Bombyx mori: one gene and its partner. The protein of the gene in region 2 interacts with the protein of the main gene of each other region in a pairwise test. Links are inferred from orthologs where the notes say so. Each region holds a gene or a part of one and is shown on either strand. Other genes may lie near its edges. The genes, in order: cact and splicing factor Cactin.

Evidence for each region.
Region 1: the proteins of splicing factor Cactin (region 2) and cact interact in binary tests that used the Drosophila melanogaster proteins (3 or more experiments, as listed by UniProt). The link is inferred for Bombyx mori from reciprocal best matches to the Drosophila melanogaster genes cactin and cact.

The regions. Positions count from the first base shown.
Region 1 is NC_085118.1:17,157,870-17,175,003, forward strand, and holds the start of cact (cactus), read left to right. Parts: upstream 1-8,688; 5' UTR 8,689-8,840; coding exon 8,841-9,115; intron 9,116-11,545; coding exon 11,546-11,871; intron 11,872-17,134. Other genes in the region: DNA replication complex GINS protein PSF1, read right to left, coding at 3,802-4,252, 5,092-5,156, 5,419-5,490. UniProt on the Drosophila melanogaster protein: Involved in the formation of the dorsoventral pattern. It inhibits nuclear translocation of the dorsal morphogen in the dorsal region of the embryo. Acts as a negative regulator of the NF-kappa-B (rel) signaling pathway.
Region 2 is NC_085125.1:14,769,831-14,787,039, forward strand, and holds the start of splicing factor Cactin, read left to right. Parts: upstream 1-8,887; 5' UTR 8,888-9,073; coding exon 9,074-9,075; intron 9,076-9,241; coding exon 9,242-9,598; intron 9,599-10,842; coding exon 10,843-11,080; intron 11,081-11,991; coding exon 11,992-12,166; intron 12,167-12,751; coding exon 12,752-12,885; intron 12,886-13,385; coding exon 13,386-13,538; intron 13,539-14,070; coding exon 14,071-14,194; intron 14,195-15,166; coding exon 15,167-15,549; intron 15,550-15,652; coding exon 15,653-15,843; intron 15,844-16,258; coding exon 16,259-16,403; intron 16,404-17,209. UniProt on the Drosophila melanogaster protein: Plays a role in pre-mRNA splicing by facilitating excision of a subset of introns. Plays a role during early embryonic development. Involved in the dorsal-ventral embryonic patterning.

The DNA of each region.
Region 1 (17,134 bases), on a different chromosome or scaffold from region 2:
AATACAGTTCGATAGAGGCAGCTAATGTATATGTATAGTATAGGTAGGTATACAATACAATATCGACGGGAGAAAGCGGAAATGTCGTAACTTGAATTTTGGGCTAAATCTCTTTTTAACATATTATATTTAGGGTTCTCGTGTAAAGTTAGGTTTTTCACGTTACGACAATTCCGCTTTCTCCGTCGATATGTACTACTATAGCAAGCACCGCAGACGATTTTCTGTTCGTAAACTTAAAAACTTGACATTTTATCAAATTGCCACCTGCCGGATCCAATTAGAAAACAAAACTTTAGAGGGAACCGCTCAAACACAAAAAAACGGTCCAGTCCCCTCTACGGTGTTTGCCACTGCGTTCATCCACACTGCGTTTCCAGAGATATTTTTTGCTACGTACCGGCTTTAGAACGAGCCAGGGTGTTTCCCGAGCGCTATGACATGTCCATCTTCAAACGAGGCTTCTGGAGAGTACTTAATGGTAGGCAGAGGCTTGGCTCTGCCCCTGGCATTGCTGAAGACCCTGAACCACTCACCATCATATAGGCCGTATGCTCGTGTGCCTAGAAGGGAAATAAAATAAAAAGCCGCCTAGGAGTTGAAAGGCAAAGATATATTTGTAAATGCGAACGAGACCACCCGTTCGCCATTTGCAGTATGACAAAAGTGACTCACGTAAAATGAGAATCCCACTTCCATTTAAACTTAGAAACTTTGTCCATCCAAACGTCCGAAACGAAATAGAAACATTGTTCTTTACAAAACTGAGTTCTATGAAATTCGTCGACTTTTTTAATTTGAAGTTGCGAAGTCGAGTGTCAGTGACGGCCGCTTTTTCGGCACAATAAAGAAAACATAAACGGACTCTGAATCGGCGAGTGGCCCAGGTATTCAATGCACGATTTTCATGGAAAGTCTGCCTATGACAGATGGAGTTGGACTGTAAAATATAAGTATATTTTTTTTTAATCTGCTGTTGTTTGGGAATCCCTGTGTTTCTTTGTGACCCGTAGTTAGATATTCGAGCTGAAAAACCCACTGTTTATGTTTTGGGTGGTTATACAAGTCCATCAAGGTTAATATCACGCCGTACCTAACATTTCTACTACCAGTCAAATTTCTGTACTACGGTATAAAACGTATATGACTAAATTATCTAAGGGGTAAGAAATAATTAAACATACCTACATATAACTCTTTAACGGTTTGTATTATATTGTAAAATATTCAGAACGGAATTCGAAAATAAAATAAAGTGTGAAATTAATTATATTAGTTTAAGTAATAATAATGATGTCTACGCGCGAAAACCGAAAACATTACAAGAAAACAAAATTTACAAAACTATTTGCTACTATCACGTCGCAATTACGTGTGTTATCTATATACCTACAGTCGACTCTCGTTAATTCCAACCTGCGATAATTAGAACCTCTCTATAATTTAAAGTTATCACGAGTTCCCTACAAAATCTCTTTATATTTCGAACTAAATCAATACATTTTTATGCACTTGGTAATTCGAACGAAAAATCATTGCTATATAATAAAACGACGCGTTAATTCGAACTCATCGGCGTCCAACACTGGACAATTCAAAGTTGCAGAGAGAAAGAGGTCGAATGATTGTAATGTAAGTACATTTTGCGACAACTTCAAACTTGTATCAACCATAGACCTATAGGTTTCCTACTACAGCGGTATCAACATACACGAGCCTTTGTTATTGTTATGATTAGTTAAACTCACACTTCCCCACGAATTGGTTTGTTTAGTTATGTTTCAGTTACGGTTAGTCTTTCGTTGGTATGCAGATTAAAAGTTTGTGTTAATTATGAGTCCTAGAAAGTATAAATGTTTGACGATTGCTGAAAAGAAGAAGTTAATCGAAAAAGTAGAGGAAGGTGAGAAGAAAAGTGATGTTGCAAAAGAATTTAAGATTCCTCTGAGTACTCTCTCAACCATAATAAAGCACAAGGAGAAAATTAATTCTGCTCAAACTGCTGGAGTACGGAAAAGAACTACTATTCATTGTTATAGAATAGCAGTTAATAAATAATTATTGATCAATACTTAGTAATTCGAAGTTTTATTTATTTTCTCTCACAAATTTCGAACCATTTGATATTTCAAACATTCGATAATTCGTAATATTTTATGAGTCCCTCAAGTTTCGAATTCACGAGAGTCGACTGTATATAAAAATGAATTACTGTTCGTTAGTCTCGCTAAAACTCACTGAAGTTACTATATAGGTCTATGCTAAAACTCGAGAACGGCTGGACCGCTTTGGCTAATGTAAAGGTTTAAAAGGTAGATAAATATAAAAATGCTCGGTATTAAATAAAAATAACAATTTTGTTTTTCCTCTGTGTCCCCCGTCGGACGGATTCATTTTGTTTGTTTTAAGTTTATTTTATATAAAAGCTTAGGTATTTTATTTATCGATTGAGACATTACGAAGTCTGCCGGGTCAGCTAGTAATAAATATAAATATACCTATTATATTAATAATTCATTGCACATTTTCTGTTCTGAACTTCTAATGCTGCAACTTTATCCATTATTTAACTTTACGAGACTGGTTAAGTGTTTGGTTGATAAATAGATCATGCAATATTGTAATATTACCTAGTTAAAGCGAAGTTTACAGAGAAAATGCAGACTGGTTTTAGTTGTAGTTTTGTGGATGTTTTTAGTGCCTGCCTCTATGCTAGATAAATTAATATCTTTGCTGTTCTACCCGATGATATGCAGGCGAAGTAAAATGTCCCTTAGAAATAAGGTGACACTCTACAAAACTTGCATACGCCCCGTCATGACCTATGCAAGTGTAGTGTTCGCTCACGCGGCCCGCACTCACTTTAAATCCTTCCAAATTATTCAATCCCGTTTTTGCAGGATAGCCGTCGGAGCCCCGTGGTTCGTCAGGAACGTCGACCTCCATGACGACCTGGACTTAGAGTCCATCAGTAAGTATCTTCAGTCGGCGTCGATGCGCCACTTCGATAAAGCGGCACGACACGAGAACCCTCTCATCGTGGCCGCCAGTAACTACATTCCCGATCCTGCGGACAGAATGGAAAGCAGTCGACGTCGCCCAAAACACGTCATCTCGGATCGTCCCGATCCACTAACGGTGCTTTTAGGTACTTCAAGCACCGGTCACCGTTCTCGTCGAACCCGTCGAAGGGCTCGACGAGTAAATTAACTCCCAGACACAGCCCACTGAGTTTCTCGCCGTATCTTCTCAGTGGGTCGCGTTTCCGATCCGGTGGTAGATTCTGCGAAGCACGGCTCTTGCTAGGGTTCGTGTTAGCAACGTCATCAGGTTTGAGCCCTCAAGGCTACCATCATAGGTAGGAAAAAAAAAAAAAAAAAACTGCGCTGTATCTTTTTTGAGAAAATAGTTTTTTTCAATGCCAGCTCATTAACAGGGCACGTAAATATCAAAAACGCAAATGCTGCCACACACCTAAACAAAAGTTCTAAGTCTGAAGTCTGATATTAGGAGACCTCGGGGCTGATGATGATATTGATTGTTGCATCATTTGATTTGACTACAGCAAGCATTATATTCTTTAGGCCACTATGACTGCTCTTTCACCCATCAGGGATAGTAAAAAAAATGGACACACACTTGCTTTATTAGGAGGTGCAAATCTAATCAAGTCAAATCACTAAGCTTATGGTAAAAATAATCTTCTCATAAAATTTATTTCCATACAGACATCAAACATTATTTTTCACAATATTATTTAAAACATAAAATGGTCAAAAATTCACTATTGATAAAATAAATTCACATTATTTGTTTCAGAATACCCTGTCGTATTAAAGTCTGACATTCCGAAGTAGGAAGATAATGTCTGCTATTCTTCTTAAGCATAACCACATCACCATCTTCAAGTTCTAATTTACCATAATCCACAACACAAAGCACTTCGATGAACAATGATTTAGGGGGCTTTAAATTTTCAGTCAAGTCTATGCCACTGTATCCTATATCTTGGCCTAAAGATCTCATATACAAAGCAAGATTTCCAGAGTATTTTGAAAACCATTGATATTCATCATCAGAAAGCAATTCTCTGATATCTGGAGGTAGTACTGCACCAAATTCCCAACGTAATGTCTTAATTTTTTTCATTCTGTTGTAGAGATAGGCTAATATACACCTTTTATTGCGTTCAAGGGCAGAATGTCTTACTTGAACTGTGGTCCACAATGATCTGTTTTCTGTTGTAGCATTACTAAAAATAGTAATTCAATTAATACAAGCGGTAATCATAAAACAGTTTGTTGTTATCTTCTTCTTCTATAAATGAACTTGATGAGCAATTGAACTACATATTTTTGAAATTTAAATTAAAATGGACTAATAGCAGGTAACCTTATTACAACACCACATGAGACTCAAGTGCATGAAAATATTAACCCCTTTGCACTAAATGACGTTTTCGTTTGTGCGGACCAGCAACTCAGACCGATTTTGGCCAAATTAGAGAAACATTTTAAAAGTACTTTAAGATCAACAAACAAACACACATTTCTCTATTTTTTTTATATACCAAAAACAATAATTAGTACTATTATTAAAAAACAACTACACTGTAAAAAAACTCAATAAGCTGAGCTAAGATTTGGTTAGAAATTGAAGCCAAGCCTGTCCACTAAAGTATTTTTAAGCAGATACATAACCGTAGTGCTGTAACAAATCTGCTGGGTGAGATATCTGTGCTACTCAAGCACAACCAGTAAAGCTATCAAATCTGCTGGGCAAGTTATCCAAACTGCTTGAATGTGAAGAGTTATAAAACAAAAAAGTCATAAAACTTTTTTTTGCATAATTGGGTGAGAGATCTCAGGGCTACCTCAAATCCCATGAAGCTAGCATAACCCCTCGAGGTTAGTAGCAATAGATTGACAAAAAAAAACAAAAATAGACCTTCCTGGAGTTACAAGGTTACCTGAGCACTTTTGCATCACATGAAACAGAATAGGAGGTTACAGAATAGAAGTGATCATAGCAAATCTTGCATATTGAACAATAACTACTTGCAGTTATATTAGTAGAAAACCAGTGACTTACGCATCATTCATGTTCAATTTAAATAATAAATGCATTTCTTCTATTATTTGGCGTATTTTTTCATCCTGTAACATGTGAAATACTATGTACTTTATAAGATTAAAAGACACAAAAATAATAATAGGCGGTGCTATAACAATAATTTAATATACTTGTCACTTCTAAATGGATTTCTGACTTTATAGTGCATATGCATAGACAAACAGAATAGATGACAACCGGATAAAATCTTGGTTTCGGTATTAAATAGTAACTTAAAGCTTTCATTAGATATAACAAGTTTATTCTAATTCCAATCCCATACCTAGATGGGCACATCCAACTTACATTATATTGATCTATTGTGTCAGGATTTCTATCTACTTCTTTAATTAGTTCTATAACTTTTTCTGCGAACATTGTGTGTTACTTATTTACTTAACAATGAGAGAGATAACAAACAAAATACTTTAATAATTTAGATAAAAACATTTTTGGCATTGGCGCGAAAGTTGTTATTAATTTGATGAGTGACAGCTCAAGACTGTGACAGATAGTAAATTTGACATTTTATGATCGGATACGCATCATTTTTGGATGAGTTCGAAAATCACAGAAGCCTTGATCTTTAAATCTATAATACCAAAACCTAATCTTAAGATATTAAAATTTTCTAGAAGTGGGAGCTAAGTCATACAAGTAACTTTTTACAGATAATCACTTAGTAGCAATACAGCCAATAATAATCTCACTCTCCTTATCGGGTCGACCATCAGATCCAATTACTCTTGCAAAGACGCTTTCAACTTTAACATTAGGAGCAGACTTAGGGACCCTGATAACCGTACTCGTCGAACTCAACAAAGTGTTCGACGTGCAAACTAACCTCCCGGTGCCACCTCTGGGACATGATGATTTCATCATTCCCGCTGAATTGCGCCTCCTTATCAAGCGGATAAAGAGGCGCAAGGCATTGTGTGAGGACGGTATTCTCACCCTTGCATTTTTCCACTTTCTAGAATCAGTCGTGTCTTTTAAGACACGGCTGTTTAATTACATTCTGTCTACAGGATATTTCCCGGGAATTTAGAAGGACAGAAGACAGCCCTCCAATTATCGTCCGATTACCCTGTTGTCGTATGTGGGCAAGTTGTTCGAGCGGCTGCTGGTGAGAAGAGTGTCTCCGCACATCCTTCTCAGACCCGAGCAATTCTGGATACGTAGCAGTCACTCAACAACGCTGCAATTGGTCTGCGTTATGCACCTTTTGACGGTCCAACGCACGCCAGTACATGGCGGCAGTATTTCTCGATTTCGAGAAGGCCTTCAACCGTGTCTGGCGTGCGGGGCTTATCTGCAAGTTGGTGCAGAACACGGACTTCCAGCACGCCTACGTGCGACTACTGGGGTCGTACCTGGAGGGCAGAACTCTTTTTGTCGCGGTCAAGAGCGCTAAATCGTGGATGCGCCCAGCCACAGCTGGGGTTCCCCAAGGAGGTATCCTGTCACCGATCCTCTACGCTCTCTACACCAACGACATTCCCAATGTCGTTACGTTGTGTTAACACACAGAAATAATAAGCAGTAACATATCTATGACGGCGTTAACGTTACTTCTGTTATACAGCACGTGCAATAGGAGTGAGTCATACACAAGCCAGGTGCGCCGGCCGTGTCACTCCACTCGTAAAACAGCACGTGCAACAGGAGTGACTCATAGATAAGCCAGGTGCCCCGGCCGACTGCGTTTGCTCGGTGCACTTACTATATCCTTGTTACATTGTGTGATTAAGTGACTGTTTTACGTACTGGTTAAGGTTGGATAAATGTTAAAGTGAATTAAGTTATCATATTGTTGATTAAATCAGGAATCAAAAAGTGACTTCGTTTTACTGGGTGTTCAACAAGATAATATCCCCCGCCCTAACCCCCCCCCCCCCTCCCCCTCCCACATAATACGCAATGGAATTGTTCAATGAGTAACGTATGTTCGTCTGCTTTTTGTGGCCACAATACCAAACAATTACAACTTCTAGTTTTGTTGATCCGAAGAGTCGATAATTGTAAAATGAAAGAATAAACACCAAATGGAAATTTTAAGTTCTTTCTATTGGGTCCACAGCTGTCTATAAAGTTTACTTATGGACGAGAGTTTTACGTGATAACGTCGTAAAGACTCCGTATGCTTTACCACCTGAAGTATTTCCTTCCGCCCGAGACCAAGACAATACTCGTTCAAACTTTGGTTTTCCCCTTGATCGACTATGGTGATGTGTGCTACTTTGACCTGAATGCATAATATCTACTCAATAAACTTAACCGGCTTCTCAATAACTGCATTCGATTTATTTATGATCTTCGGAAATACGATCACGTATCTTCTCATCGCTCCCAACTTAAATGGCTCCCCATTCGACAACGCCGTAGCTTGCGTGCTCTCGGTACTCTTTACTCTTTGTTGCATTCCCCAAATCCACCTGCTTATTTAACTACTTCCTTTCAATACTTAGGGTCTGACCACAGCCGAAATCTTCGTTCATCTCACAATGTTCTTCTTCGCTGTCCTCCATATAGTTCTGACTCGGTTCTCTAAGGTCGGCCACTACACGTGAAGCGTTTAAGATGAGGGTTCGAGAACTGTTTCTAGAGAGTTATCAGAGTCATCTAATTGATAATATTTATTTATATATATTTTATACATATATATTTATGTAAATGTATTTATTTAAGTACGAGTTTTTGTATCTATAAATATTATGTATGTTATATATACACATATGTTTAAGTAATATCACTATCACACTACACCTATCAAGGTTCATCTCTGCACCCCCCTAAGGTAGACTCTCAGAGAATTTTTCGGAGCATCTGGGTCTACGGAGGGACTTCGGTTCCCTCTGTATTTTGTACCGTATGTTCCATGGGGAGTGCTCTGAGGAATTGTTCGAGATGATACCGGCATCTCGTTTTTACCATCGCACCACCCGCCACCGGAGTAGAGTTCATACATACTACCTGGAGCCACTGCAGTCATCCACAGTGCGTTTCCAGAGGTCTTTTTTGCCACGTACCATCCGCCTATGGAATGAGCTTCCCTTCACGGTGTTTCCCGAGCGCTATGAGATGTCCTTCTTCAAACTAGGCTTGTGGAGAGTATTAAGCGGTAGGCAGCGGCTTGGCTCTGCCCCTGGCATTGCTGAAGTCCATGGGTGACGGTAACCACTCACCATCAGGTGGGCTGTGAGCTCGTCCATCCATCTAAGCAATAAAAAAAAAAAAAAAAAACGTGGATGTTTTAGTTTATTTTTATCGAAATCACAGTTTTGTTATATTGTTTTACTTCACGAACCAACAGATATTTTTTTACTAGTCAAGACACCTATTGTCACTGTCTATGTCTATGTTTACTTTGTTTTTGCTAAGGATATCTATCAACTCAAACAAAATATTTTAGATTAAATCATCACGCAGTGATGTAGATTGTAGACAATTTACATGACACAGTGTTTCCGAACATGTCTCTAGAAAGTGACGTAATGACGAATGCTAATAAAAACAAAAAATGGCAGCCTTATGTAGTCACAAATACTCCAGCATTGAATCTTAATCACGCATTGTGCACGCGCATTCGTTGTAGTGAGGCTGTTTATTACGCGACATTTTTGTGTCAAAACATGGTTCCGTGTTCATAAACAATTGTAATATAAACAATAGTGAAACGATAAGATTATTGTTAAAATTGAAAACGGTCGTATAGAATTGAACCAAAAATGAGTGCCAAAAAAGATTCCGAAACGAAATTGCGCGAGGACGAGTACGCTGATTCCGGTTTTGTTACTGGTGAAATATCAGGACCGTGTGATAGTAATGATATCGATTCAGGGATGATCGATTATGATGAAAAGAATAGTGAAGGTGAAAGTGGAGTGAAATCCATTACGGATAGGCTGTCACAAGTAATGGTTAGTGTTCAGAGTCCTGCACAGAGTACCGCAGACATTCCTCCGCTGTATCTACTGTTCCAACAGGACGAGGACGGAGACACGTATGTATAAATCATTATACTCCACGCACTCTTACAACAACAACAAAAATTCTTCATTTTGGCTTTTTGGGGTCTGTGCATGAAATTTTTCCCTATAATTTTAAACAACATTGTTAACTTGATTTGACACTACTACTATTATTAAATACTTTTTCGAGAAACACTCCTTGCTTACCTTTTAGTTTAATGATAGATTTTTAAATATATTTTGAGATTTATCAAATTACTTTTTTGTTGTTGTTAAAGTCAATTAATTACCTACGAAGGGCATATTTAAAAAAAAAACATTGTTAATGTGGAAATTTTATCAAATTATACTTGTGCAAGAACCTCAGCTCACCAAGAAAATTAATATGACAATCTTACCCAGCCAATACAGTTTGTAATAAGTCAACAGACCTAAACTACAATATGTATTCTTATTAAAACCATGATGAAACTTGAACTATAACAAAAGAAATTCCCTGTGTTCAGTGAAATAAATGAGAGAAATAGCAACTTTACGTTTAAGGTGCTTACTATATCCTTTCATTCGTCTATTTTAATAAATCTATTTTGAATTAACATGCAGTTAAATAAAACCAATTTTTATCATGTTTCTTTATTAAGCTTTAAACTTTTTGCTAAAGCGTTAATTCTCGTAGTTTAGCATTTTATAAAGCATATTAAAATATATTGATATAAAGTTGCTAGTTCAATTATATTTTAACAGGGTACAATAACATAAACTTCATTTAAAAAAATGTTTATCAGTACAGTAACAAAAATGAACTTAAAGCGTTGTAGCCTAATACGGTAATATGCACATGATATGTTGTAAATTCTGTAATGAATAAATTGCATGCACTGCCCGCCATTGCAGTAGCCTTTGTCCACTCTGTGTAGAACCACTGTGTTTATCCACAGTGCATTTCCGGAGATATTTTCTGGCATGTACCATCTGGCTTTGTAATTAACTCCTCTCTTTGATGTTTCTCAAATGCCTTATAATGTTGGAAGGTTGGTTGACAAGATTTATAGAAAATACTCAGGGGCAGGAAGCAATTTGGCTCTGCCCCTGGCATTACTGATGTGAATTAGCAATGGTAACCACTCACCATCAGGTGGGCCATATGCTTTGATATCTTTGTTTTCAGTGAAACTATAGACTAAATATACATAAACTAAATATTCACTACTATGTTTTAGTAAATATAGCAGTGAAAAAGACTTGATATTCTTCCAATATTTAAATTAACAAGGAAATCATTTATACATTTTACAACTTCCTTTGCGCGGATTTGTTTTTTTGAATAAAGACGATCAAAGTGAGCAAATTTAATTGCTTGAAAAACATATTGATTGGATTGATAATACAATTAGTAATCATGATCAAGTATATAATAATATACTTATGAGTGCAAATGTAACTGTTTCAGCCTTCTTTGAATATAAATAACTAGGGACTATTTTTAAATATTTGAATTAGAACTGATAATTATTTGTTTTTCTAAACTATCTAAAACTACCAAAATATTATTTGTTAAACTGTTCCCAGATGTGTTGACAATTCTAGCTCATGTTGTTTTAATTATCAATACATAACATTTTACACTGTTTTTATTTATTTGATATCCCTAAAATTATTTATTTAACTTCCTCACTCAGATCAATAACCTATGTAGCTATGTATAATAAAAGAACAAGCTATTGAATAGATTAGATAGTGATATGATTACATCACTAGATGCAACTAGTGATGTCCTCAAATGACCTCACTCACAACACCATCACTCATATAAATTCTGAGGATTACATGGGTACATCTAATGTGTTTGTTTATATCAGGTGGTTCCTGCATTGTATTCAGATAGAATGGACTGGTTCATGCACATACCAATGATAGAATCAACCAATCGACAATATCATCATCTGGTACTCGTTTTCACAATTCAAACTAATTACAAAACAAGTTAACATTTATAAAAACAAGTTTACTTCCTCAATAATTGTAAATTGTTTCGTTTTATTTAAATAGTATATTTTATAATACCTATTAATAAATGTCTATGATAAATTTATAAATTAAGGTTTATTTATTTAGCATACATACATACAATCTATGCAAGTACAACATCGATATAACACCAGTTGTATAATAAATGATTAATCATACATATGAAATATAAAAAAATATGTTTATTAGTAGAAGGTCTGAAAAATAAAATATAAAGTATTTAAATTTAAGAAGTACTTCCTGTCTATGAACTCATTTTTTCAGTACAGATATTCCCATAAATAGATTACTCAATGTCTAAAATGAAAACAGTCACTATAAAGTGTTACCAGTGCCTATTATGGCTATTACATATCAGTGAACTACTTATTACATTATAAGGAGTCTGTGCAGTTGATATGTTGAATGTGAAGAGTTGTTATTTTCCATTACAGACAACTACACATCGCCTCCGTACACGGCTGTGAAAAGTCAGTGGGTACCCTCATCAGGGTGTGCCCTGAGAAGTCGTGGCTGGACGTGCCCAACGATTATGGCCATACGCCACTGCATCTAGCGGTGATGAGTGGTAATGCCATCATCACTAGGATGTTGGTCATCGCCGGAGCTGACATCGGAGCGAGAGACTGCCTCGGAGAGACTCCGCTACACAAAGCGACTGCCGCCCGCCATATAGAATGCTTAAAAGCACTACTTGCCAAAGTTCCTGAGCATCAGAGCAGTAAAGTATTAACAGTACTGGAGCAGAAGAACTACAACGGTAAGTTGTTTATTTAAAAGAAATCATTCAAATATTTCCTTGTAGCCATTTGTGAGCGACTCGACTGATAACAAATTCAGTAACAGATTAGTGTAATGAGTGTTGATCAATTTATATACCTCGTGCTTTTATTCAGATTCTAGCTAAATTAATATTAACTATAAACCTAGCAAGTTTGCAGCGAGATAAATTATTGTCTCACTGAATCAGATGTAAAAACCCATACAAACTCGGAATTTCCACTTACGATTCGCTTTAAGCGTTCTTAAAGACTTGACCGTCGGCAACTACCGCATTTTTATTATTAAAATTTATTAAGTTAAAATTGCGTAATTTCACTAATATCGTGGTCTGTTATCGGTCGTTGAATTAAGACGCAGTATGAACGATAAAATGTAATGCCGAGATTAGCACGTCCGAATTTGAACTACGCATAGTACTGTACTTATCCTGTGGTAGGTTAAATGTTTGACCTCGGATAATTCAGGGAAGTAGTATTTATTGCCGGCGCCGGCGTCGCGGTCCATCCAGGCGTGAACTTACACCCTAATGACGTCACGTGTTCATTGCATTAGAAGCTACGTAGTCTACTAGCATACATTGTTGAATTGAACACTAGCAGCTCGTATCTGGAGCCAGTTTGTGGCACGACACAGACATACGGCGTTGTTTACGTCCGAAGTGCGAACCGTGTCTACTTGTGACGTCATTCAAGGTCTCCATTACGATCGAAGTCATTAAAAATCTATCGTAAATTCGGTTTGGAATACAGCGAAACGCAATTCATGAGCATCCATTCAAAATTTTAGAATGTCTCGTGGACTCGTCCTCATTTTAAATCGTGAACACGGAACGACCCGTGTAGAGCTGCATCAAAACATGATATTTCGAGTTTTTTTAATTAGCGGTTTTCCCTGATCATCTCTGGTCGGCTTCAAGTTTTGTGTAAAAGAATTTCGCACGACTTCTGGTCGTCGATCTGCATACGGTTTTACCCGACGCTTGACCTTGCCGAGACAGTCAAACACGTATTATAACATAATTTTCGGACTTAATAATTATACATCTATACTGCGAGCCGTTCGACAGAGGCCGCCTACGTGCGAGGCGGTGTGACCGCGGACTGGGTATTCCCAACGACCGTTCTCAAACTTGAGTGAAAGCATTATGCTTACATTGAACCGAATCTACCGCTCCAAACGTTCGCACGACTCTTTAGTCGGGATGCCCCACTGTCCACTGCGCTGCACATAGCTAATTATGAATTTGTTAAGCAGCCGGCATAGTAAACTGGGTTTTTCTAAACAACAATAAATACATAATGTTTACTTTTCATATCTGCGTTTTGTGTAAACGCAGCAATTCCCTTGCTTCTATCGCCGTCAAATCGCGCCTGAAGTCGCTTGCTTTCACTAAGTAGCTTACAAAGTGAACTTGTTGAAGGTAAACACAAGTCCATTCCGTTAAATGTATTCGCTGGGTTGATCGGTCTAAGGAAAACCGCAGAGGTACGGCTGCAGGCACCGTAATTTCCCATTATTCGAGCTGAACAATGAGTCGATGTGCTGATGGGTTATACCCGCGTGAAAGTGTGTCCAGGGGCCGTGCTGCCGCGTTACATACTCGCGGAAATCCCAAGCGTCGTCGTAATAATAGCGTTACGTCGCCGCCTCGCCACCCACGCTTTCTAATTTTAAAACGCTGTACTGAATCTCACTTAACAGACGCGCATATGTATATATAGGAGAATTCAAATCATACCAAATTAAACCCTTGCGTGCTGCTATGTTTGGTTAAAGAAATATTCGACGACCGACCGGATTTAGAGAATTTCCAAAAAAAACAGGTTCCGCTGATGATCGAAGTGCGAGAGGTTGTGAATACTGTTTTTTTTTTATTAAACCTCAAGTTTATTTATGATTCGAGTCACGAAAATGAAGTAGGTAAATGGCATAAGGTAATGGAATTCCCAAATTAGCGTATAAAACGCTTCGAAAAATGTACACGAGGAATGCCCTCGTGTTTAGATTGCGGTTTGCTTACATATTTTATTGAAATTACACGCAAAAACAGGTTTTAAGAATTGAATTAATTAGAAAATTGTACTTACATGTAACTTTCATGATATTCCCTTGTACGAATCTACGATAAAATATCTACAATAGTGGACTGCGTACATAACATCCTATCTATATTAGCGTATAGTTAAATCCTTTATTGCATACCAAGATAATAGTCGACTATAAAAACGGAGGCTTTGGAATAGTTGTTATCAAAACAAGAACGAAGATATAGTATTTTCCAAGGTTTTCATGTATCGAAGACATGATTCAGAAGCGAATATACTACGCATTGATCTGACGTTCAAATTATTCGCGGCTCAGTTTCCGGTGTTTAGAACATTCCAGAAGTTCCCCGGTCACTGTAAATAAATTATGTGTTTCATATGAAACGTGAGTTTTCTACTTTTCATTTTGCAATACAGTTCACCACAACTTGGTTCCTTGACACCTTGATGTAAATTGTGTAGTAGTAATTGTACCGCCATCGTATTATTGCAAACGGTGGATCGTCGCAGCGTGGGATTTTCCTACACTCGGCCTGGTTCTTCAATGACCTCTGTATTATCAAGATTTCAACATAACCTTACAGAATATGGTGGCGGCCATGCCCGACATGTTGCTTGTTGGAGACTCTTCTCTCGGGACTGACATTTCTATGTAATACTCTGTATCTCGATTCGGGCGCATGCTTCAAAATGCACATTGACGTTGTCATGTCAATGGACAACTACTGTTTGTCTTAGGTTGTGTTCCTAATTGTAAGCCAATTAACGATATAATAATACTTGGATGGCACACTAAACGTCTAATTGGGGAACTTCCACTTTCGATTCGATTGACCTCGATAACTCCTGAATACTTATCTCTATGTGCAATCATGTTTGCTATGAGTGGTCTGTTCATGGGTCCTCATTTCGATTAGTTATGGCGCGCCAACGGTGGATATCAATTGTCTTTTTAAATAACTAGAAACGGTACTTTAAGGATATTCAGAAGTTCCATAAACGTATTTTTGTTCGTTGTTTCGTGTTAAGTTTATTCGCCTTCATAACACTCTTTTCAACTGCTCTCGGTCATAAAGGGGAGATGAACATGATCAATAGAATTTGTAATTCTAAATATTGATGTACACAAATTTTGTTTATCAATTTTTATATCGATACAAAATGCTGATCCTCGTGTCTCAAGACAAGCATACGACGGCTTATTGTAATATTTAGTACTTATCGATAAAAAAGAGATAAAAACCTAATTTCCGGTGTCATCTACAAACAATGATAAACTACAGCGAAGAATGGAAACGAATTAGTTTTTTTTTTTATTTGATGTAAACACATATGTAAAGTTGTTTTTATTATCGCAACGTAAATAAGGAAAATGCTTACATTTTTAAACGCAATAGTAGGTACGCTTCAAAGTTTAATGATGTTTTATACCTACGTAACAAATGCGTAAAAACACCTCGTTTTATTTAAAATTGAACTTTAAAATAACTATGATTAAAACTGAAATAACATTATCGTCGTCAAGACCGTGGTAATCGAATACCCGATATTGAATGACCTCTATCAAAAGTTTCCAGTGAGAAATGGTCCTGCATCCGTTTAGGACACTGTTTAATGGAAAGGGCCAATCAAACGCCGAGAACACACGGTGCAAAACAACATCTCTATCTTGAAGCCCGTCTATCTCTTACTCTCTCTAGTTGGTACAACGAAATTAATTTTGTAACGTAACATCAATCATAGTTATGATAAGGCATTTTCTACTAAAAGCTTAGATTACTCAAAGATTAAAAATTAATTAAAATTAAATCTTGTTATCAAACAAATAAGTATGTTACTCATTTGGTTCTGTTACAATAACTTAATGAGATCACGTATATTCATAGCGATTATATTATTAATCGATGCGATATTGATTTTTATCGTCATTATTGTGTATAGTCTGTGAAAACGGTGAAAATATCATCGGTCGCCACCTTATATGGCGTGGGTGCGCGTGCTACACTCGACACATACTGGGAAACCCCACGTCTCGCCTTCCCCGCACCTCCGCCTCTCCCCGCGCATTATCTTCACGCGTCGCTAACTCAATCAAATGTAGATATACTAATACATATGTAGTAATATTTATGAAGCCAACGTGCGCAAATACCAACTACACATTGAATAGAGTTCGAAGTTTTGATTATCTATCTTTATTTCATCCCTATTGCCTAGTTACCCTAAGCTTGGATATATTGTTTTCAATACGAGAATAGTAGTTAACATTGTGGACGTGAGATAGAAAGATATCGAACTTAAGACTTGCGTAGTTAGACATAAGGTGTAAAGTTCAATTGTCAAGACAGCTAATATTTCAGCCTTTTAATATTTCACAACGGAAACAATAATTAACGCGATAGTATCTACCGCAACTCCGCACTCCTTGCCGGCTCAATACAAAGATTCTCTGAAGACATGGACTGATACTGAGTAATGGTCAACGGGGACCTTTGATTAGTCATTGATGAGTTGGATCGTGTGTAAACAAGTATAGTGGGTTTTACTAAGAGATTATTTACTTGGAAACATAATATACTCACAGTGCTTTTTTTTTATTGCTTAGATTGTTTACGAGCTCACAGCCCACCTGGTGTTAAGTGGTTACTGGAGTCCATAGACATCTACAACGTAAATGCGCCACCCATCTTGAGATATAAGTTCTAAGGGTCTCAGTATAGTTACAACGGCTGCCCCACCCTTCGAACCGAAACGCATTACTGCTTCACGGCAGAACTAGGCAAGGTAGTGATACCTATCCGCGCGGACTCACAAGAGGTCCTACCACCATAATTACGCACATTATAATTTTGCGGGTTTGATTTTTATTACACGATGTTATTCCTTCACCGTGGAAGTCAATCGTGAACATTTGTTGAGTACGTATTTCATTACAAAAATTGGTACCCGCCTGAGATTCGAACACCGGTGCATCGCTCAACACGAATGCACCAGACGTCTTATCGCTTAGGCCACGACGACACAAAGTATTCAAGATATAGGTATTTATTTTGAAAATATGTAAGTTCTTTTGGTGGTAGTGTTGTGTCACTGCTGTTTTTTCCCGCCTCGGAGGATAGGCCAGATGTTATTAGAAACTTACACTATATAATACACTAGAAACTCTGACGTCATGCTTGGATGTCGGCGGCGGCA
Region 2 (17,209 bases):
ACATCGCCCCACCGTGTCCGATGCACTGGATCGACCTGCCCTCGAGGTAGGAGCCGATCAGTCGGCGGAGGTATGCGGGGACGCCGTGATACTCCAGCGCCCCCGCGATCACCGACCAGGGCAGGGTGTTGAAGGCGTTCCTTACATCTAAGGATAACGCCATCGCCACCCCGCCCCGGGATACGGCTTCGTCGGAGAGGGCCCGCACGCGCAGTATCGCGTCGATCGTCGAGCGGCCCTCTCTGAAGCCGTATTGTTCCGCCGAGAGATCGGGACCCGTCTCGGTCAGGTGCCGGACGATGCGGGCCGCGACGATCCTCTCGAGCATCTTGCCCGCTTCGTCCAGCAACACGATGGGGCGATAGCCCGCGGGTGAGTCCGCGGGGCGCCCGTCCTTCCGCAGAAGGACCAGTCTGCCCGTCTTCCATTTCGACGGGAACCGTCCCGACTCGAGGCACGCTTCGAAAAGCCCCCCGAGCCGGTCCCCTAGGGCCTCGAAGGCCAAGCTCCAGACCCGGCCGTGAACACCGTCAGGGCCGGGGGCCGCGTCCTTCGCTCTCATCCTGGACACGGCCGCATGGATCTCCGCCCCCGTGATAGGGGGAGGGGGCTCCTCGGCAGCGGGAACGCTGGGGCGACGCGGCGGCGTGCCCCACGTGGCGTCCATCTGGGGGGGCTCAAAGTCCCCCCCCGCTGCCGGCGGGAACAGTGCCGCAACAATTTCCCGCAGCTGCCGAGGCTGGAGCCGCTCGGTCACCGGGAGCGCCCACGGTTGCAGTTTCCTGCGAACCATCTTGTATGGGCGCCCCCAGGGATCTTCGTCGAGCGACTCCAGGAGAGTCTTCATGCTCTGCTTCTTGGCCTCGCCGATGGCCAGCTGCAGCGCCGTCTGCTTTTGACGACAGTCAGCGTGCAGCTGGGCCGCCGTCTCCGCGAACGCAGCGTCGCGACGACGGCGGCGGCGGTGGCGTGCGCTCCGGCGGCGCGCCCTCACGCACTCCTCGCGGAGTCTTGCGATCTCGGGCGACCACCAGAACGCACCCCCACGTGGTGCTCGGGGGCCGACCCGGGGCATGGCGGCATCACAAATGTTTGCCATGGTGCCCCGGAACCAGTCGACCTCCGCATCCACGTCCGCGAGCCGCGCGGGTTTTGGCGCCCACGCAGCAACAGCGGCCGCCTCCATCAGCAACTCCTTGTTCATCCGTTTCAAGGCCCACCTGGGGAACGAACGGGGCGCACCTTGCGGGAGCTCCTCCTCGCCGCGGGCGCCCGCGGCTGACGACGACGACAAGGAGGAGGCGGAGAGCTCGAATCGGACGTATCTGTGGTCCGAGAGCGTCTCCGCCCCCTCGAGTACGCGCCAGCCGCGGGTGCGGCGCACGGCGGACGGGGACGCGAACGTCACGTCCACGTGAGATTCCCCGTTCCACCGCACGCAAGTCGCGACCGTGCCTCTGTTTAGGAGACAGAGGCCGGTCGCGATCGCCCACTCCGAAAGGGCCTCGCCTCGCGCATCCGTGCGGGGGGAACCCCAAGCCGTGCACTTGGCATTGAAGTCCCCCGCGACGATGACAGGGCGGGACCCGAGGCGGTGCAAAAGCGCCTCGAGCCCGCCCAGAAACCGCTCGAACTCGGCGAGGCTCCTGTTCGGAGAAAAGTACGCCCCGATCACGACGGTCCCGTCGATCCTAGCCGCGACGTACCCGGGTCCCCTGGCCACCATATCCAAGGGGGGTAACGCCGCGGACTGTCTCAGTACGATGGCCACGGAGCCGTCGACGTCCCCGATCCAGCAGTCCTGGTCAGTGGGGACGAAGTACGGCTCCGCGGCGACAGCGACGTCGATTGACCACTCCGCCATGGTGTGGACGAGGAGATCCTGTGCCCTGGCGGAGTGGTTCAAATTACTTTGAAGGAAGCGATGGACACAACCCATTACGGGGCTACGTCCATCGCTCCCTCGTCTGTCCCGCCCTGCGGCTCGACAACAGCCGCGGCGGGAACTGACTCGCCGGCTGCCCTTGTTGCAGCCGGCTTCTTTTTCTTTCCGCCCCTCCTCGTTTTTGTAGAGGAGGGGGCGGACTTGCACGCCGGGCCCCCGGCCCGGTGGTCGGCCTTCCTTTTAGCCGCGTCGCACAAGACGCAGTGCGGCGCGGCTGCGGTGCAGGAGGCTGCCTTGTGCCCCGGTTGGCCGCAGCGGAAGCACAGGTTGCTGCGGTCCACTGTCGAGGGGCACTTGGCGAGGCCGTGGCCGGTGCCGAAGCACCGAAGACAGCGCCACGGCCTGCTCTCCTGCAGTTGCACGTGGGCCACAACCCAGCCCACGCGCAGCCATCCTGGTGAGGGACCTAACCTTTTTTTTTTTTTTTTTTTTTTTTTTTTTTTTTTTTTTTTTTTTTTTTTTTCGGGGGGAAATCCTCATGGACTACCTTCGCCTAGGGAAAAGCGAAGGGGCGTGCCGGACTCCTACCGGCTAAAACCACCCCGGTGTCCACCCACACGTGCGCGCAGGGCCGCGGGAATCCAAAATTCTTCCGCAGCCCCACACCAGTGCTGGCCCGGTCTATCCAGGCCTCGTCTCCTGCACGGAGTAGTGAGGCGTTCAGCTACTCCGTGCATCGCCTCAGAGGCACGCGCCGACACCCGCATGCGCCTCCGTCTCAGGTCCATCGAATAGGGGGCGAGGGCTTTCCCAAGTCCCTCGCCCCTGGACCCATTCATGGGGGGCGGAAAAGGGCATTGTCCGCCCTTGTTCTGCGCCCGGTGCGCCTTCTGCGGCCGGGAAAGGGAGTCGAGATCTCCCTCTCCCGTTCTGCAGTTTCCTTCTGCGACATCACGTCCTCGCAGAAGGACACCACCGCGTCCCACGACTCTGCGCTGCCGACCATCCTCCGCACTACGGCCGGCAGCGACAGATCGCTTCCTACTTCATTTGTGAGGACACGGCGCTGCTCCTCCCAAGCTACACACTCGGCGAGCGTGTGTTGCGCCGTGTCCTCCCCGCAGTGGACGCAGTGGTGGCACCGAGCGTCCGGCTCCCTGTCTATGCGGCACAGGTACTTGCCGAAGCAACCGTGCCCCGACAGCACCTGTGTCACCCTAAACGACAGGGATCCGTGCCTTCTCCCGAGCCAGTCGTCGAGTACTGGCCGGATCGCCTCGACGGTTGCGAGGCCGGCGGTAGGGCGCAGAAGCCTTTGCCGCCATTCCGCCACCAAGGCCAGACGGAGCTCCTCTCGGCGCAGCGCGATCTGCCGCTGCACCAGCCTCGAGCCCCGTGCCCGCTCTTCCTCGCGCCATCGATATAATGACGCGAGTACTTTCGCCTCTAGGTCCCAGGGCGGGGATCCGGCCAGGACGCAAGCCGCCTCGTAGGAAATCGTGCGGTACCCGCGGATGACTCTGACGGCCATCACCCTCTGCGGCTTACGCAGAATGGCGAGTGTGCTGGCCGTCATGTCCATCGCCCACACAGGGGCCCCATACAGGGCCATGGACCGCACGATTCCCACGTACAACCGCCTACAGGCGGCGCTCGGGCCCCCCAAATTGGGAAGCAACGTTGAAAGCGCGCCCGCTGCACCCATCAGCTTGGGCACCAGCCGCCGGAAGTGGGGCCCGAATTCCCATCGGCTGTCGAGCACCAATCCCAGATACTTCATGGTGGACTCGACAGCTATCCGGGTCCCACTTACCACGATGTGTGATCCCGGCGCCGGCGCACGTCGGGGGCCATGAAACACCATAGCCTCCGACTTGTTTAGGGCCACCTCCAGGCCCAGGCGCCGGATGCGGTTCACCACCAGTGACACCGCAGCCGCGGCTATCAACGTCGCTTCCCTGTGCGAGCTCCCCCGGGCAGTGACAAGCGTGTCGTCCGCATAACACGTCAAGTTGGCGCCCGACGGGAGCTCGCCTCTCAGCACCCAGTCGTAGCCGATGTTCCACAGGAGCGGTCCCAAGACCGATCCCTGTGGAACACCGCACGACATGAGGTGCCGACCGGCACCGTCACGTCCCCGATAAGTGACGCATCTACCCTCCAGATAAGCCCCTACCGTGCGGCGGAGGTAGGGAGGCACGCGATGGTATTTCAGAGCCTCCCGAATACAACTCCAGGGTAGGGTGTTGAAAGCGTTGGAGATGTCTAAAGACACCGCCAGTACCACCCCACCCCGGGACACCGTCTCCTCCGCCAGGGCCCTCACGCGCATGATGGCGTCTATGGTGGAGCGCCCCCGACGAAAACCAAATTGGTTGTCATCCAGGTCCGGCCCCTCCCTGCACAAGTGGCTGACGAGGCGATCTGCGATAATGCGCTCAAAAAGTTTGCCCGCCTCATCGAGCAGCACTATGGGCCGATACGCGGACGGCGAGTCCGCGGGGCGCCCCTCCTTCCTGAGCAGGACCAGCTTCCCCTCCTTCCATACACTAGGAAACTGACCCTGCTCGAGACATGCCGTAAAGAGCCCCCTCAGCTGGGGCTCTAGCTCCTTCAGAGCCAGGACGAGTGCTCGACCAGGAACTCCGTCGGGTCCCGGGGCCGTGTTCTTAGACCGGAGTCGCGACACGGCCGCTCTCATTTCTGCTTGCGTCACCTCGGGGACATCGGTGCTTTCCTCTTCTCGAGAGTCTGTGGCTGAGGGTGAAGCCATCGCCGGGGAAACGTATTCCGCTCGCTCAGGGAAGAGGGCCGATACAACCGCTTCTAGCAACTGGGGTTGCATGCTTTGCGCCAGTGGAGGCGCCCAGGCACGCAACTTGCCCCGTACCCAACGGTAGGGGCGCCCCCACGGATCCCGATCTAGGGACCCCAGCAGCTCCTCCCTGGCACGCGACTTAGAGTCGCCGATGGCCAGCCACAGAGTCTCCTTAGACGCGCGGTACGCCTCATACAGCGCGTCTTCCTCGACGGAATCCCGTCGACGTCGTCTCCGGTATCGCGTGTACCGGCGGCGAGCCGCGACGCACTCAACGCGCAGCCGTGCGATCTCGTCGGTCCACCAGTACACCTGGCGCCTTGCGGACTGTTGGTGGACACGGGGCATGGACGCGTCGCAGATCTGCGTCATCGCCCCTCGAAACCACAGCGCCACCGCTTCGACGTCGACGGGACTGTTCATTGTCGACTCCCAAATCCAGGACTGGACTAAGGCAGCTTCCTCGAGTAGCTCCTCGTCGATGCGCTTAAGTGCCCAGCGTGGGCCGTCGTTAATCGGGGCGGTTGGCTGGCGGCCGCTCGCGGTCTGGGCAGAGACGTCGAACCGGATATACCGATGGTCCGACAGCGTCTCCACCTCCACGGCGACACGCCAGTCGCGGACTCGGCTGGCGACAGAGGGGCTAGCAAACGAGACGTCCACTATCGAGCCGCCCCGCTGCCGCACGCACGTGTATTCCGAACCCCGATTCAGGACGACCAGACCAGTTGTCACCGCCCACTCTTCTAGCACCTCGCCCCGATGGTCAGTGACCGGAGATCCCCACGCCGATGACTTGGCGTTGAGATCCCCGAGCACCAGAACGGGACGAGGGTGATAGCGGCCTACGACGGCGCCCAACTCGACGAGGAACCCCTCAAAGTCGGCGAGACTCTTGTTGGGAGAAAAATACGCCCCTACAATGCCGATACCGTCCGAGACCGCAGCAACCCAGCCGCGGCCCCGAGACGGGTTGATCAGAGTCTGGCCGATAATGGCCACCAAGCCGTCAATGCTCCCCAGCCAGTTGTCACGGGCGGGGACAAAGTACGGTTCGGCGACCGCAGCCACGTGGATCGACCACTCTGCCATGCTCTGGAGTAAAATATCCTGAGCTCTGGCACAGTGATTGATATTGCCCTGGAGGAAATGGAATTGTGCCATTATTGACATTCCATTCCCTCGGCAACGGTCCTGGGCCGGGAGTCGGCTACGGAGCTACTAGCCTGCGGGGGTGGCGAGGTTTCCCCGGTAGGTTTTGAGTTCCTCTTCTTCTTCTTGGCCTTGCTGGCTGGTGCGCCACAGGCTCCTCCACCCAGCCTGTGTCCCGCTGGCTTCCCTGCAGCTGAACACAAGCTGCAGTTGAGCGCCGCGGAACACTGAGCCGCCTTGTGGCCGGGCTGACCGCAGCGATAACAAAGGTCACTGCGGTCAACTTCAGCGGTGCACTTTGCCCGGACGTGCCCCTTATCCAGGCACCGGAAACACCGCAAAGCCCGGGGCTGTAGAAGTTTCACCCTCGCTGCAACCCAGCCAACCAGCAATCTGCCGCTTAAGGCGATCTTTTTCGCCGACGCTACAGGGCACCGAACCCAGACCACGCCGAGTCCGGTGGCATCGGTGCGTATATCGCCGGCCCGCACCTTGTCCGATGGACACTCTCCACTTCGGGCAACGGCCGCTACCACCTCCTCAGAGGTCACGGAGTCATCCAGTCCAGCAATCCGCACCTCTGCGGTTTTCATTGGCCTGGAGACCCGGACGTCCTCGGGGCTGAGGACCTCCCTCATCTTGGCGGCCAGAGCGTCCGCCTTTTCGGCACTGCCACTCGTAGTACCAGCCACCTCGAACAACCGTGCACCCGTGGCAGCCTGCCTGTGGGTGACGGCCTGAAGACCAAGATCTGATAATTTGATCTTGGCCTTTGCTTCGGCGATGACCGACTGGTACGTTACGCCGCGCTCCGCAGCTCCGGGCTGTAGCGTGAGCGTCACAGCTTCGGAACGCGGAGCACGTATCTCCGGTCCTTTGCGACCGCCTTTGGCAGCCCGCCGCGCAGGCTGCGCAACCGCCTTTGCGGTTTGGCCGGGGGCATGCGTTGCTGCTGAGGCCGCCTTGGCGACCCTGCGTGCCTTCTTGCGGCCCACGACTGTAACCCAGGTCTCACCCTTAGACCCAGCAGTCGTGGGCTGATCGCTCGATGGGGCTCCCTCGACGGGCTTTTTGACACCCTCCGCGGGCTTCCCCTCCCTAGGCTTAGGTCTCGGCGGCTCCTCAGCCCTCCGCCGTGTATCGGCCGCTAGTGGCGGACGGAGGATTTCCGCAGGGAGGCGCCGAGAAATTGCCTCCATACGAGCATTGACCATGCTCCCGCACTGGAGCATACAGAGCCGGACAATGCGCTCGACCTCGTCGTCGGTATGAGTGCTTGTCGGTCTCGGTGCGGGAGCCGGGGTCACTACCGATGCGGCATCAGTGGACGTACGCCGCTGCTGCTGCTCGCTCAACGCAGTGACTCGTCGCCGGAGGTCCTCCATATCATTTCGGAGACGGCTGTTTTCCTCCTGCAACTTCGCAACCTCGTCAGAGGCCGTCCTGTTGAGGAGGATGCCAATCGCCTCCTTAATGTCCGCGGCAGCTTCTTTCAGACCGCGGGTAAACGTGCCCTTCAGGCTGCCGGATTTGGTGGCAACCTTCAGGACTAAGTCCACCCCGTCCAAGGCAAGCTGACTTAGGGCCACCGCAGATGGTTCCCCCCCTTCCGCCGCTAGAGTAGCGCGTCGCTCGCGTGCGCGTCGGGCCATTTCCGACACTTCGTCGGCCGCGACAGCTTTGCGCTGCTCTCTTCGGGCGGCGTTGATCTCCGCCTTTGAGCTCCCTAGCGAGGCACAGCTCTCGCCACCAGGGTCCTCGGTAGTGACCCCCATGTCACTATCTGCTTTGCTGGCAGCCGGAGTATTGGAGCACACGAACCTACCCTGTGCGTTCCTCCGCGGCCGTGAAGCAGTCACTCCTCTCGAAGCCTGCCGACCTCTCCTCGTGGTCGGTAATTTCTTGGGGGGCAGCAAGCCTTCCTCATCTGAGGACAGATCCACCGACCCATCTCCCACTGGAGCATTGTCGCGTGAGCGTTTTCTAACGGAAGACGACCCACGCGGTCCTCCGTCAATATTTTCAAAATAACTGCTTCCAGTAATATTATCAGCAACAGGGGCCTGGTCGCCTACTCCTGCGCGTCCATCGGTAACCAATTTATCACTCGCAGGCCCGGGTACCTGCGAGCGCCGGGCGTCAGCCGGGTCGCATGACAAATCTCTCTCATAGTTAGCCATTTTCATATTAAAGAAGTGGGTGGTACGCACATAACTTCCCCAAGGCGATGTGGCCGCTCTTTTTGGGAGGGTGTTTGATCCTCCCGAGGCCCGCAGATGCCTCCGGTGCAGGATATACCGCCCGCTGGTCGGTATCTACAAGCAATTTTTTTTTTTTTTTTTTTTTTTTTTTTTTTTTTTTTTTTTTTTTTTTTTTTTTTTTTTTTTTTTTTTTTTTTTTTTTTTTTTTTTTTTTAATATATATATATATGAACTAGCTAAACTAAACGAAACTAAACTAACTTAAACTAGCCACCACCCGGCACCGTGGTTTAATCACCTCGCCACGGATGCCCCTAGGCCGCAGGTTGAGGAGCAACCCACGGTCTTCTCCACCTCGATCACCGCGACGTACACGTAGCGGAGACCCCTAGGCCACGAACTGTAAAACAGCCCGTGGTCTACCCCTCCTTGCTCCCTAGTCGTGTACTCTGCAGCTGCAGAGCGCAGATAGAGAGCCCTCGGGAGCGACTCCTCCGCCCCGGCAGAAATTCGCCGTGGGCAACAATCTCCTCTTTCTCACCCCTCACGAGGAGATTGTTGCCCACGCCCAGGGTGCACCGGCCCAGCGCCTGCTCGTCCTCTCAAGAAAACAAAAGGACCAGCAGCCACTGAACACTCGGGGAGGTTTTCTGCCAGGCACCCCAACCTAACCTAACCTAACCTAACCTAACATTTCGTTTCAATTAATTTCAACCCAATTGCTTACAGTTCCAAAGAAATTAACTACACCTCATTTCATCATTAAAAACTAAAAATTAAGCTGTATGTTATAACACCTTTGCTTTTATAGTTGAAAAAATGGAACTTGCTACTTACTGTCTTTCACTTGACAAATGACAAGATCATCTACACAATATTAAAATTTTAATTTAACTTATAATTTTAAGATCAATTTCTACGAATTGTACGTCTATCTCTTTTAAATTTATCAAGAAAGATTAATATTTATTAATATTCAAGGTCTACTCTGTCTCTAGATCAAATCAAATAATAAATATGTGAGTATATTAGATTCACTTTAATTGAAGAGTTTATGATTTTATAAAAATTTTTGAATGCCTATTATGTTTTTAATTCACCATTCAACTATGAGGTATTTAATACATTAAATATGTACACATAGTTATTTAAATATTTTCAAAATAAATATTTTGGATATTTTAGGTCTTCAAGAACTGATACACGTCGTATCGAAAGATCACGGAGTCATTCGGTGGAACGATACCAAGAACGTAAAGATAGCAGAAGGTCCAGGAGTCGATCATCCAGTCACAAGACTCACAGGTCAAAGTCGCTCACGTCCAAACAGAGTTCTACAAGCAGAGAAAAAAAGCGTAAAAAGACTAAGAAAAAGAAAAGACACTCTTCTAGCAGCAGCAGTAGTAGTAGTAGTTCTAGTGACAGCAATGAAGAAGAATTGAATTTCTTGCAAAAACTGGAGGCCGAAAGACAAAGACTCAAAGAAGAGAAACGTAAACAGAAAGAGATGCTCAAAGCGAAGGAAACTCCTGAGGAGAAAAGGTAATAATAGTAGATACTAGAAAAATGGGTCGAGAATCTGAATTGCGAAATCTAGCTTAACGATCTTGAACTCATTGTGGTTTGACAAATAGGACTTCTGTACTTTTTTTGAGCTACACGACTATGCCAGTGTTTGAATGCCGTAGTCGGTATACATTTTTGTTTTGAGATATGAACTTAGCCAATTTATTTCTTATCATAATGAATTTAATGGTATAAGACCCTGGCTAGTTTAGCTACTAGTCCCTGCCTCATTAAGTACTAGTAGTAGTCTGTTGTAATCATGGATACCATCCTGCAGATTTATATCTTGAAGCAGCTATGCATTTTAGGTTTGAGGTTATAATCTTATGGTGGATGTTAGATTCTTCATTTATTTATTCATAAATAAAATTTTGTTGAAGTCTCAGGAAAAAGAAGAACTTTCAATGAAATACTAATTAAAAATATATCATTATTAAAATGCTTAAGGTAAACTTTAATATCACTATTCATTTCTTTTGCTTTGCTTCATGAGTACTGTCCATTGTATCACTTTGTGTAGAACTGATTATTAACTAACTCCATGTTGCCTTTGCAATGCTTTTTATTGTCAAGACGACTATGTCTACTATTTTCCAGACCATTTCTATAGGTACTTTCAATATCCATTTTTGTTATTTGACAACTGATGGCACTACTCATACTGCCATAACAATACAATGGCAGTCCCACCCCTTACATTGGAAGGTATTTTTGGTTTTTGATGCATATAGGCAGGATGAAGGCCGTACCTTCTTACAAATCTTACAAATTTATTAGTTTTGTGGATTTGATATTAAAATTTATATTATTAAGTTATGTTTCCTTTATTGTAGCATGCATCCATCATGATTTTATTAATATGTCAATACTTTTTAAACTATATATTGTTCCTAATTATGCTGATGGTGGATTGACTATGGTTGCTATGGCTTATATGCACTTTGAGGATATTAGAAAGTAAATTTTTGTACTCAATCCGTGCTGTTCTAATAACATTCTTTAACTCCAAGCTCCAAATATAGAATTTATTCAAGTTTAAATTGGCAGTCAAAAGAACAACAATATCACAAAACAATAAGTGTTAAATAGTATAACAACTAAACGAACATTAATTTGTATGTCTCTTTCACTCTTTCCAAGTTTTGTCATTACCAATTACTTTTTATAGTAATAAATTGTTTTACTGATACAATTACCTTTTTATTTAATTTAATTTAAAGGGAGAGGCGTCTTCGTGAAAAGCAAGAAAAAGAAAGGAAACGCCGCGAGCGTATGGGCTGGGACAATGAGTACCAATGCTACACTAACCAAGACAACCCATTTGGAGACTCTGCACTGACCAATACATTTGTCTGGGCTAAAAAACTTGCTAAAGAAGGTGTGAAAAATGTATCCAGAGAAGAACTTGAAGCTTTGAATAGACAGAAACAATTAGAAAATAAGATTGAATTGGAAAAGGTAAGGATTTGATAATAGACATAGGCTTAAGATAGGCATGAGGCTTTATAAATATAAAGTATAGCAAATGATAAAGCTATGGGAGTTGTTCATGAGACGCAAACATTCTAAACATTTACAGGGTCTAGGTGGGGTAGAATGAAAACTGACAAACAGTCTGTGCGCTGTCCTATTGTATATTATTGTATAGATCTTGTTGACCTGGGAACTGCGTAGTATATCGTGATCAATTGTAGACTCTAAATATTAAGAACATTACTGCCCGGTTTCAATTATGGCATTGAGCCAAGAGTGTAATAATATTGTGGGCCATTCCGTACATATTACTTATATTACCAGTACAAAACTACTATAGATAATGACATATTTACTTTGTAAATTGTAATGAATATAATTATTTTGTTTTAAATTGTGCATAAGAATAGTTTGTAAAATAAATCATAACTCTTTGAGCGCGTACCGTTGATATATCGACTTTATTATTATGGCTATAAGGTGCGGAGAGTCGGAATACCGACGTTTGCGCAGTTTGGTTAAAGGTAGGTGGGTATCGAACTTAGGGCGCGCAATAATAAGTTAATAGCATCTATAAATAATCATTTCAAATTATTTTACTGTGAATTTAGCATTGATTTCTGTTTTAGGTTTCCTTTAAGTTAAAGTTTTTTTATCAGTACTTTTTTTAAAAACCCTTTGGTATTTTTTGCCTAATATGTGCCAATAAGCTGAACACTACAAGATTTAAAAAATAATAGCGCTACATTATTCATTGCTAATTCTGGCGTACGTTGCACACGACTGCCATATCTTATGATTGTATCATTTTCATGTTGCCTGGTGGCAGTGGATTTCATTGGCGACACTGCTGTTTCTGCTTCGAGATATGTCTGTGAGTGTGTGTGTGTGTGTAGGTGAAGCAGCGCCGCTTGGAGCGCGAGGCGGAGCGCGCAGCCCGAGAGGCGGAGGCCGGGGCGGCGGCGCGCGCTCGTGAGGCCGCGCAGTTCCACAGCTGGGCGCGCCACGAGGATGCCTTCCATTTGCACCAGGCCACCCTGCGCACGCAGATAAGGATCCGGGATGGACGAGGTCAGTCACAATAAAGCATTATCTTAAAGAGAGGCAAAACACTGGAGGTAGGACCTCTTCTGAGTCCGCGCGGGTAGTTACCACCACCCTGCCCATTTCTGCCGTGAAGCAGTAATGCGTTTCGGTTTGTAGGGTAGGGCAGCCGTTGTAACTATACTTGAGATCTTAGAACTTATATCTCAAGGTGGGTGGCGCATTTACGTAGTAAATGTCTATGGGCTCCAGTAACCACTTAACACCAGGTGAGCTGTGAGCTCGTCTAACCATCTATACAATAAAAAAATAAAAAAACAGTCATTATTTCTGTATATTTTGTGACCGCTTGCTTATCTACAGCACTGCAAGCTATACCTACTGGTAATTTTTACGAAAATTGCGCGGACGGTGGAGTATGAAATTTCCCACATTTATACAAAATTTAGAGAAGGGGTGCAAAATGTTAATCTTTTTTTTAATTATGCATAAAAATACATAAAAATGTTTATAGTCTGTGGTCAAATTGAGAATAGATTAATATTATTATCCTCACTTGTGATATTTGTATGTTGTTTACAACTATGCACACCACTTGGTTCCTTCAAACAGCGAAGCCGATAGACCTGCTGGCGTGGTATGTGAGCTCAGAGGAGTGCGTGGATGCTCTGGAGATGCACGAGCCCTACACCTACCTCAACGGGCTGCAGATGCAAGACCTCGAGGACTTGCTCGAAGACATCAAGGTATAAAATACTTTCAGTACCCGTAAAGCTGAGCAAAGCTTACACCAGCACAATCGGACTTGTTCACTCACCCCAGTACCGACACAAGCACACGGCCAGCTCGGGCCTCCCTGTGGGGGGGGGCGGCCCTACCCCGATAGGACGGTGTAGGACTCATCTGATGATTTATACGAAGTTGTAATAAGGCCTTGGCAAAAGTATTCACTCTACTCACTCTGCCATTGTTCGAATACCATAAAATTAAATTACGTACCTAATACGTCCGTGAATATTTATCTTCATTCTCCAAAGTGTAGGCATCAGCCGCGCGATATGAACGATTTGCCACCCACCGTGGTGGGGGTCGGGGGGCTGTGGTCCGGGGTTTATTCATGAGTTAAATAATTCTCGTAGTGTTTTGTCACACAACTTCACTCCTCGTGTTCCCGCCAAAAAGTCCATATAGATGGTAGAAAAGGGTAGAAAACATAAATCATATAATATACAAATATTTTTGGTAGGTTTACAAAGAGTTGGAGAAGGAATCTAACCAGTCGTACTGGGAGGACGTGCAGACCATCGTGCTGGACGAGCTGGGCAAGCTGCGCACCGTGGCCGCGCCCTCCGCGCGCAGGGACGGCGTGCACAGGGCCGTCGCCGATGACGTCACACAAGTACTTCCACTCTTTACACTACTACACTCAAGGCTAGGGTTGCAACCTTCTTTTTGTAGATAAAGTACATTGGTTATTACAGGTAGGAACAAAAAGTACATAGTATTAAAATAAAGTACAATTTATTTTTTACTGTTATTATGTTTAAAGACATTTTTTATTACCATTGAAAAAATTAAACAGGACTGTGACAATTAATGACAGTGACATATGAGGTTAAGTTCGGTCAGAATATTTGTAAAAACAACGAGTGCTTAGGTGATGTAGCGTTGGCGAGTGGCGACATCGATTGAGCAATCGATGTATTTCGCTTAACGAAACAATACATATGACTAAACTTTTCAAAATCCCAAAGAAACCAAATCATGCCAAATAAAGTATTTTCGTGTACTTTATTGTTCACATAAAGGATAGCGTACAATACTTTATTATAAAGTACGGGTGGCAGCCCTAGTCAAGGCGCCAGACGGACGCACGCGGCGCGACCCTCCGGTTCCGGTCACTCGATCTTACCCGCTCTCTACCATTACAGATCTTCAAAGGCAAGACCGGAGCTCAGCTGGAGGCGCTGCAGACGCAGATAGAGCAGAAGATATCCGGCAGGAGAGACGGCGTCGACATCGGGTACTGGGAGAGCTTGCTTAGCCAGCTGAAAGGTAACCGCTGTCTGGCGCGCATGCTGCTGTCCACTCGTGCACAATATGCCCCTGCCAGCTGTCGTCTTAGAACTAACCGTTACTTTCTGAAGACGGGGTTGGTGGTAGGACGCTTTGTGGGTTCACCACCGCCCTGTCCATTTCTGCCGCGAAGCAGTAATGCGTTTCGGTTAGAAGGGCGGGGTCGCCGTTGTACTGTAAAAATTGATACCTTAGAACTCGTATCTCAAGGTGAGCGACAGCATTTACGTTGTAGATGTTTATAGGCTCCGGTAACCACTTAACAGCAGATGAGTTGTGAGCTCTTCCACCCATCTAAGACGATCTAAACCAAGCTCCCAAACTTATTTTGGTCTGCTGCCCATTTTCAGAATAAATTATTTTTTAGCGCCCCCATTTTTTCATCTAATTAAAAACCACTATAATGAGAGCTCAATCGGTGTCTAAGAGTCTTTTTTTTCTGGGTCTCCTACCGCCCTCCTTAAAGTCTTTAGCGCCCACAAGGGGGCGCTATCGCCCACTTTAGGAAAGGCTGATCTAAGCAATAAAAAAAATGTGGTGACCGCTTCAATTAATCCAGACTCTGCGTAGACGACTCGTGCGGCCCTTTTTTTTCCATTTTTTTTTTATTAGATTGGTGGACGAGCTCACAGCCTACCTGGTGTTAAGTGGTTGCTGGACCCCATAGACATCTACAACGTAAATGCGCCACCCACCTTGAGATATAAGTTCTAAGGTTTCAAGTATAGTTACAATAGGCCCTGACTGACCTGCTCTCTGTAGTCATCGACAAGATCATTATTAAAAAAAAGGTGTAAATTAATTGACCACTCATCGATAAATCAGTGGATAAATGTAGCCGCCCCCGAGGCTGCTGAGCGGCCGCAGGAGTCGCTCGCTCGGTATCCACAGAGGCCCGAATGCAACACATTCATCTAAAACAGAGAGTAAAGTAGCGCGTTGTGTCGCCAGCGCACCGCGCGCGCGCCCGCCTGCGCGAGCGGCACCGACACAACCTGCGCCGCAAGCTGCAGCTGCTCAAGCGCGAGCAGGGCGTCGCCCCCGCGCCCCGCGCCCCCGCCAGCCCCGAGCCCGCGCAGCCCGACGGCGGGGGGGCCGCGCCCGACGGCGGGGGGGCCGCGCCCGACGGCGGGGGGACCGCGCCCGAGGCCGAGGGGGACGAGCACGAGGAGGAGGAGGAGGAGTGCGTGTCGCTGTACCGGTCGGGTCGGTACTCGCCCGCGCTGCTGACGGACCGCGACCTCGAGCCCGCCACGCTGCTCACCGAGCCGCTGGCGGACCTGCAGCGCCTGCACTACCTGCGCGCCGCGCGGACCCGGGGCCGCGCCCCCGCGGTACGTTCTAACCCTTGCGCGGTCGGACAAGGCGGACTCCGTAGTGACATCACTGCGCCCCGGCACAGACCGTACTTATTCAATGGTGTCGATGTATGAACAGGGACGACCAGAAGGCAGCTCGGCGGGGCCGGGAGCGGGCGGAGGGGCGGAGTCTCTGGAGGCGGAGGCCCGGCGCGCCATGGGCGCCCCCGCACCGGACACGGCGCCCTTCGCCCTGGAGCACGCGCTGCCGGACCAGCCCTGTCTGTGGGCCGACAAGTACAGGCCCAGGAAACCGAGATACTTCAACAGGTCATCTCATGAAGCCAATATCATTACTACAATTACTATTAGCTATTTAACCGACTCTTTATAGATGAACCGATTTAGATATTTTTTTTTTAGAAGTAATACTTTTCATGTGCACTCATTTAAATTTTATCAAAATGTGACTAGTTAGCGATGTATTTTTAATTGACTACATTGAAGATATTTTAATTTTATTTTCTTGACAAAGCTTTTCATTTTTGTAAAAATTTTGTGTTATTTAGGTACTGTGTGCAGCCCCCGAACAAGGGTCGGCAACGAACTATGTCCCCGCGGACCGTTCCGTACCGACCCCGTACCGACCCCGTACCGACCCCGTACCGACCCGTACTGACCCCGTACTGTGCCCGTACTGACTCCCGCCCGAGCCTCGTTATTAACATCACATCTGTGTCCGCAGAGTCCACACCGGCTTCGAGTGGAACAAATACAACCAGACCCACTACGACATGGACAACCCTCCCCCGAAGATCGTCCAGGGATACAAATTCAACATATTCTATCCGGACCTCATCGACAAAAACTCGACACCGGAGTTTTCTCTCGTATGTGATTAATGTTTATCTATCTAGGTTGTTCCTCATTCTTGTAAAAATGGTAGTATGGCAGTATGGTATTATGGCAGTATGGTAGTATGGCAGTATGATAGTATGGCAGTATGGTAGTATGGCAGTATGGCAGTATGGTAGTATGGCAGTATGGTATTATGGCAGTACGGTAGTGTGGCAGTATGTTATTATGGCAGTATGGTAGTATGGCAATATGTTATTATGGCAGTATGGCAGTATGGTATTATGGCAGTATGGTATTATGGCAGTGTGGTATTATGGCAGTATGGTGTTATGGCAGTATGGTATTATGGCAGTATGGTATTATGGCAGTATGGTATTATGGCAGTATGGTATTATGGCAGTATGGCATTATGGCAGTATGGCATTATGGCAGTATGGTATTATGGCAGTATGGTATTATGGCAGTATGGTATTATGGCAGTATGGTATTATGGCAGTATGGTATTATGGCAGTATGGTATTATGGCAGTATGGTATTATGGCAGTATGGTATTATGGCAGTATGGTATTATGGCAGTATGGTATTATGGCAGTATGGTATTATGGCAGTATGGTATTATGGCAGTATGGTATTATGGCAGTATGGCAATATGGTAGTATGGCAGTATGGCAGTATGGTATTATGGCAGTATGGTATTATGGCAGTATGGCAGTATAGTAGTATGGTATTCAAGGGCGGATCCAGCTTTGGTGCCAGGAGGGGGTCACATAGTCATGGTCAAGTCAAGAACTTATAATTTAATTTTGATAACAATAGATACAAGTAAAAAGTAGGTATT